2 linked regions of the Macaca mulatta genome follow. The protein of the gene in region 2 purifies or fractionates together with the protein of the main gene of each other region. This does not show direct contact. Links are inferred from orthologs where the notes say so. Each region holds a gene or a part of one and is shown on either strand. Other genes may lie near its edges.

Region 1 (3,787 bases), on a different chromosome or scaffold from region 2:
AACATCAGCATTGAGATCAGGAGAGTCCAGTTTGGAGAAACAGAGCTGGGAGCCTCCAGCCTGTAAGTAGTTACTGGCACCAGGAATATAGAGGGCAATTGCACAGACTACAGAGAAGGGGTGGGGGAGGAATCATGGCCTCCTTTCTCAGTTCTGTCATCTCAACAAGCTCAGATTCACAGTTTTCTTTGAAGAGTGACCTCTAGAATGGAACCTGGCTCTATGGGTGGGACTTGGCCATGTCCCTTGGACTATGGAGCCTTCACTTCTGCTCTGAATACTGTAATTAATAATGAGGAAGCTGTGGTCCTGTAAGAGGATGTGTCTTGCCAAAGATCATGGAGTTAGCTGGTGACAGAAGCAGGACTCATGTCCAGGCCTCCTGTCTGCTAGCCCACTATGTTTCACTGTGCGTAACTACATTGGCCAGGATGCTTCTGGTTGCAGGTGACAGAAACCACCGTTCAATCTAGCTTAAGCCAAATGAGATGTCCTGGCTCACAGAACTGCTCCAGATAGGAGGAGAGATGGCCACAGGCACAGTTGAGGCCAGGATTGCAAACGGTGTTGTCGGGACTCCCCATCTCTCTCTCTGTCTTTTTTCCCCTCACTTTTTAATCCCTGTGAGTTCCTTAAGATGGTAGGGGTGGGGTGGGGTGGGGTGGGAAGTGGCCTCCAGCAGCTCTGGATGCAGATCCATGTATTTCAGGATCCAAGAGGAAAGCCTGGGATTGGCTGGTCCTAGGTAACTCACCTACAAGTGGGAGCAGGTGGAGGAAGGGGTCAGCCTTCTTCTCCACTTTCCCCCACAGAAGCCTATGATGTGGGGAAGGGCAGTTCCCCAAGGTAAAGAGGAGGGTCCTTATCAGAAGAAGGGGGAAGGCATGCTGGGCAGGTGGTAATAACAGGTCACACTCACGCTCAGCAGTTGGGTTTCTGCAGTTTCTTCCTGTGTTTGCAACTGGTGGGTGCCGACAGAAAAAGGCATTATGACAGGCAAAGTATGATATACGCGGGAATGAAAGTGACTTAACCTTTAAGAAGGAAACAAATTTCTCTCTTTTCCCTCCTTCTCCCCCTCAGGTCGAAATTGTGGTATATAGATTCCTGGCATGTGATAGGAGTTTCTGCTCGTTCAGTATTTTCAACCACACAGATAACCTCTGGTGTGTTTTGATCAGAGACTGCAATTTGGATCACTAGCACAGAACTTCCATTTTCTTTGTTTTACTCTTTGGGTCATTTTCCATATTGCCTGGGGATTCCAGGTGTTTCTGTCCTTCAGATACATGAGTGTGGGTTTAATCAGTGATGTGATTTTTTTAAAAGGCCTGAAACATTCTTTACAGTGAAAGCTACTTGCAAGGTAAACTTTTGTCAGTATTCTTAGCCTTCTAGCTTGATTTCTTAGTATTTTGCCAAATTGTGAGAGGAACCCGGCCTCTGGGGGCAATTGTTAAATCTCTCACTGCCTAGTTGGCTTATGTGGTCTTTTAGGTCAGGTGAGTACAGCCTGACCACTTGCCAGTCATGTGACCTGGGGCAAAACTGGGCCTTAATTTTTTCATCTGTAAAATGGGTCACTGTGAGGCTGGGCAAGGCTACATGTGTGAAAATGCTTTGATGCCTCAGAGCTCTGTGGGAGTGAAAGATGACATTTTCTTTGCATTGCTGTGTTTTCATATAAAGCGGTTGGCTCGCATCTGTGCTGCTGGCTTCACTGCAGTGAGTCAGTCACTATTCGTTGTTCCATGTCCTGTTGAGGACAGCTACTTTCTCACAGGGCATGTCACCTCTGTGCCTCAATTTTCTCTCCTCAAAGACAAGTTGGCTAGTCCCTGTTCTGCCTTCTCATCACACCATGGTTGTGAGGCTCTGATATAATAAAAACCATTTGTGCTTGTAATCCCAGCACTTTGGGAGGCCAAGGCAGGCGGATCACCTGAGGTCAGGAGTTCGAGACCAGCCTGGCCAACACGGTGAAAACCCATATCTACTAAAAAATACAAAAATTAGCCAGGCATGATGGCACACGCCTGTAATCCCAGCTACTAGGGAGGCCGAGGCAGGAGAATTGCTTGAACCCGGAAGGGCGAAGGTTGCAGTGGGCCAAGATCGTGCCACTGCACTCCAGCCTGGGTGACAGAGCAAGACTCTGTCTCAAAAAAAAAAAAAAAAGAAAAGAAATAAAAAATAAAAACCATTTGTAAGTTGTCAAAGCACTTACAGAAGTGTAAGGTATTGTTAATACTACACAGAGAATATCATTTTTCTAGGCTGTAATTTATAAATCTCATGATTTTCTTCTGAGTCACTTTACTTCACTCAAAAGTATACTATTTTCTAGATTTAAAACTACCAACATGAAATTAATTGAATGTTTGAAAAGCCTATGCTGTAAGATAAATATTTCACATATTTCTCCCGGGTGGGTGCGGTGGCTCATGCCTGTAATCCTAGCACTTTGGGAGGCTAAGGCGGGTGGATCACTTGAGCCAGGAATTCAAGACTAGCCTGGGAAACATGGCAAAACCCTGTCTACACACACACACACACACACACACACACAAACACACACGCCGGGCATGGTGGCATGTGCCTGTAGTCCTAGCTACATGGGAGGCTGAGGTGGGAGGATCTCTTGAACGTGGAAGGTTGCAGTGAGCCGAGATTGCGCCACTGCACTCCAGCCTGGGCGACAGAGTGAGACCCCATCTCAAAAAAAAAAAAAAAAAGGATTTCTTCTGTATAATTTTAATAGAGTAAAATTCCATTAAATGGTAGAGAATAGTAAGCTTAACTAACACCTAGAATCTTCAACTTTTTTTGAGAAAATTGGGTGATTCATTTAAAATTAACCTGGAACCTAATCTTATTTCCTAGTTGTCAGTTGCTATTTCAGTTCTTAGATTAAATGTAAAGGTAACCAAAGAGTCTAGTTAGTTCATCTAAAAAAAGAAGTATTATCATATTCCTATTCAGTGCTAGTTTTTTCACTGAGATCCTATGATATAATGTTTTGTAATCCATGCTATTTTTTTTTAGTCCTACAGGGTCACATGTTGAATGGTGTAAACAGCTTATAGCTGCTACAATTTCTAGTCAGATTTCAGGTTCAGTGACATCAGAAAATGTATCCAGAGATTACAAGGTAAGCAACATTGAGTGCTTAATTCATTTTCAGTATGCTAAGTAGCCAAGAAGCTTTGCAGTTTTAATTCAAGTGAACCGTTGGCCCTTTGATGCAACACGGCCATTTGCTCGAGAATAAGGACGAAAGGTTCTCTGTTGTTAGATCTAAAATGTAGAAGAGAAATTTTACCAGTATCCAGTACATATAGTTTTGTAATTGAGAGGAGAAGCTGTCTTTAGATGACGATGATTCTTTTAAAAATCAAGTTCCATTTTATAATAATAAATGCATATAGCTTCTTTGTTAGTATTGTGAGTTTCAGAAAATATCTTGATGTACAATACTTCCCTAACTTCACAATTTTTTAATGTATTATCTGTGAGTATTCAGCATTAACATGTGATACTAGAATGAATAAAAACCTTTCCAAAATCTCAAAAGAGTATTGTATGGGCAGCCTCATTTTTCAGTCCTTACTGAAGTGAAAATCTTTTTGTTTATTTTAAAAGTTAGATTCTCTGCTTATTCTAAATTGAAGTGATAAGCTCCTTGTCAGCAGAGACTAGGGCAGTTTTACTCACCACTGGCTTCCCAGGCGCAATCCTGGAGCATAATGGTTGCTCAATAAATATTGAATCAATTAACAAACCAAAA
Region 2 (3,787 bases):
GTTATAATTCTGCCAGCCCCATGGTGATATATTTTGTGTATTCTCACAGAAACTTGCCCCTGGAGTCAGCCAGTTTGCTTATACATGTGTACAAGACCACCCCATTTGGACAAATCAGCAGTTTTGGGAGACAACCTTTTACAATGCAGTGCAGGAACAGGTTCGCTCCCTTTATCTCTCAGCCAAGGAAGACAATCATGCCCCGCATCTGAAGCAAAAGGTAAGAGAGAAGAAAAGAACGCTAATTGTGTGGGATTAGGATTCTGGCTTTAAGGAAAGCAGACCTTCCCAGGGCAAAAAAAAGCTCTAGCTACTTCCTATCAGTGTATTTGGGTTTTATTTAGGGAGCCCTGTGATATCTTTCTTCTGTTGTTTTCAGACATTATGTTTTTCCATAATAACTTCTTAATTCAGTTCTTCAGCACTAGGATTGTTTTAATATACTTTAATAAATAAGAATTTCCTGGAAATGATTATAGGAAGTTGAATAGAAAGAACAAACCTAGGCCGGGCGCGGTGGCTCACGCCTGTAATCCCAGCACTTTGGGAGGCCGAGGCGGGTGGATCACGAGGTCAGGAGATCGAGACCATCCTGGCTAACACGGTGAAACTCCGTCTCTACTAAAAATACAAAAAATTAGCCGGACGTGGTGGCGGGCGCCTGTAGTCCCAGCTACTCGGGAGGCTGAGGCAGGAGAATGGCGTGAATCTGGGAGGTGGAGCTTGCAGTGAGCCGAGATTGCACCACTGCACTCCAGTCTGGGAGACATAGCGAGACTCCGTCTCAAAAAAAAAAAAAAAGAACAAACCTAAAATAACAGGCATACTTCTCTATGCAACTAACTTTCCTGGAGGAATGTCAAATTAAAGTTAATTGACTCCAAAATAAATGTAAAATTTAGTAGTTCTATTTTTTAAAAATGCCAGTAATAAATCTAGGTCTTCTTCTAGGAATATTCTATATGTTTCTCTCTGTTTCATCAGCATAAAATATTTTTATGAAAAATATCAAAATATTTTAAAATCAAGGAAATTGTTTTTAATTTGAAAGAGTAGTTTTAAATACTCTGAAAGTTTAAAATATCATTTACTAGCTCTCTGGTTTGGGTCAAGTCATGTTACTTCACTGTGCCTTATTTCCTCACTGGTAAAATGGATATGATTATTATGAGATTTTAGTGTCTAATATATAAAGTGCATTGAAGAGTACCTGGCATGCAGTAATAATAAGTGTTAGAAATTATCCTTATGAATTGAATTTAAAGCAGCCTTAAAGGCTGATTATCATTATACTTCAGAAATTTATTGGGCTTTGGGGGTGCTTTCGATAATTTTTTAAGCAGCTGTAATGTTAATATTGACACATCTCGAAAGAATTCATAGAGCAAACACATGTCACTGCTTCTTTGCCAGCCATTCTAAAGAAGTCTATCCCGGAGCCAGCCCTAGGTTAGGTACAAGTGAGACCATAGACATACCAGCTCTTCACAAGCTATAAGGTGCTTTGCTGCTGCTTCCTGAGGTTTGTCACATAGTTCCACTCAAGGCCTGTTGGATCTGGGAAAGAAGACTAGGTTTTGTTTTGTGGTTGTTATGTTTTGTTTATGTTTTCATTTTTGCTGATGTAAGCATTTAATAGAATAGTTATTTAAAACATCTATGTTTTTTAAGCTCACCTGAAGTGATGGTTCTCTTTTGGATTGTGTTGCTTTATTTTTTAGGATAAGCTTCCTGATAACCAGTATCAGGAAAAGACAGCAATGGACCTGGCAGCTGAGCAACTACGCCTTTGGCCTACCCTGAGCAAGTTAACTCAGCAAGAGCTAGTGCAACATGAGGAAAGCACTGTCTTTAGTCAGGCCATTCACTTTGCAAACCTCATGGTGAACCTGCTAGTTCCACTCGACACAAGTAAAAACAAGCTCCTAAGAACATCAGCACCAGGTGACTGGGAGAGCGGAAGCAACAGCATTGTCACAAACAGGTACCGAAATGTGAACACACAGACCCTCCTCCTACTCTTCTTGGGACCAGTCTTGGCTTGACAGATAATATTAAACATTTTGAGCAAATACTGCTCAAATTTTAACATATTTGATTATTAACATATTGACATATTTCAAAAGTTAACCATTAACATATTTCAAAAGTTAACCATTTTTTCCTCACCTTTGGACTTTTTCAGCTTTTCTCTCTAAAAGATTCACTTCATCCTACTATTCTTAACCACTTTCCACACTCTCTTCTTTTTTATGACCTAATTTTTCCAAATGTCTCACCCATTACTGATCCAGCCCTTTAGTTACTGTCTGCCAAAGCAATTTACAGAAATCATTCCAGAGAAATTAGTGAGCACCTTCTTGCAAAAGTGACTGTTTGTTTCTCAGCCCTCCTTTTCCTCAACCTTATAGTCATATCCTCAACCATGCCTTCCGTGTCTCTACCCTCCAGTGACTTCTCATACCACTGAAACTAAAACCCAAATGGGTTGCAGTTTACTCAGAGAGTGATAAATCCTGGCAAGAGAAAGGTTCATAGGACAGTTTGGTCCTTACATACCGAAGAATATGCCTGTTGCTGAGAAAAATTCTCTTACTTTGCCTACCAGGAAACATGTTCCTCAGTTGCCAAATTGCCAAAGATAGCCATATTACTTGGTCTCTATGTAATAATTAACTTGGGAGGACAGGTTGCTTTAGAAGGCCCAGGTAGTCCATAATAAACGAGAGAATCCTCTTTTGCTTTATTTTCTGTGGTTCCTGGGTTCCTTTTGGGAGAGTGACAAAAGGTATTCCTTACAGAAACAAATCTGGGTCCAAAGGATAATACCTGACAGTAGTTTCCAAATGTAGACAAGTAGAACGTTGTGTTTTATCACCATGACTTACTAAGAAGCCATGGAGTTAAGTGAGCCTTCTACTTGAGTAGACATCTCTTTGATCATATTTCATTTGCTATGTAAATTGACTACTATATAGTAGTCATTTGTTGCATTTGAGTACTGACCATGATTTCTTTCCTTGACTGTCTTAGTATTGCAGGAAGTGTAGCTGAGAGCTATGATACAGAGAGTGGGTTTGAAGATTCAGAGAATAATGACATTGCCAATTCTGTTGTGCGATTCATTACCCGATTTATTGACAAAGTTTGTACAGAGAGTGGAGTTACTCAGGATCACATCAAGAGCCTTCATTGCATGATACCAGGTAATCACTTTGCAGATATTAGAGAATCAGAATATTGGAGATTATTGAGTTTCAGCATAAAACCTGGCAATACGTGTCTTCCATATAGTTCAGCCATGCTATTTATTTATTTTCTGATTAGTTTTTAAAATGTTTTTAAATTGTTGTGAAATACATATATAACATAAAACAATCTAAGTGTACAATTCAGTGGCATTAATTACATTTACAATGTTGTGCAGCCATCACTATTATCTATTTCTAAAACTTTTTTATTACCCCAAACACTCTACCCATTAAGCAATAACTCCTGTTTCCCCATCCTGCAGCCCCTGGTAGCTTCTAATGTATTTTCTGTCTCTATAAAGTGCCTGTTCTAGATATTTCACATAAGTGGACTTAGATGCTATTTGTACTTTCGGGTTTGATTTATTTCACTTAGCATAGTGTTTTTAAGGTTCATACGTGTTGTGGCATGTATCAGAATTTCATTCCTTTTTATGGCTGAGTAATTTTCCATGGTATAGCTGTCCCACATTTTATCCATTCATCTGTTGATGGACATTTGAGTTGTTTCTCCCTCCCTTTTAGCTATTATAAAT

The links. Proteins that work in one complex are often made in the same cells at the same time.
Region 1: the proteins of SBF2 (region 2) and MTMR1 purify together in Homo sapiens (affinity purification with mass spectrometry; 3 studies listed by BioGRID and IntAct, with this or other methods). This does not show direct contact. The link is inferred for Macaca mulatta from reciprocal best matches to the Homo sapiens genes SBF2 and MTMR1.

The regions. Positions count from the first base shown.
Region 1 is NC_133426.1:156,943,404-156,947,190, forward strand, and holds part of MTMR1 (phosphatidylinositol-3-phosphate phosphatase MTMR1), read left to right. Parts: intron 1-3,045; coding exon 3,046-3,151; intron 3,152-3,787. UniProt on the Homo sapiens protein: Lipid phosphatase that specifically dephosphorylates the D-3 position of phosphatidylinositol 3-phosphate, generating phosphatidylinositol. Could also dephosphorylate phosphatidylinositol 3,5-bisphosphate to produce phosphatidylinositol 5-phosphate.
Region 2 is NC_133419.1:55,672,559-55,676,345, forward strand, and holds part of SBF2 (myotubularin-related protein 13), read left to right. Parts: intron 1-49; coding exon 50-220; intron 221-1,721; coding exon 1,722-1,984; intron 1,985-3,033; coding exon 3,034-3,206; intron 3,207-3,787. UniProt on the Homo sapiens protein: Guanine nucleotide exchange factor (GEF) which activates RAB21 and possibly RAB28. Promotes the exchange of GDP to GTP, converting inactive GDP-bound Rab proteins into their active GTP-bound form.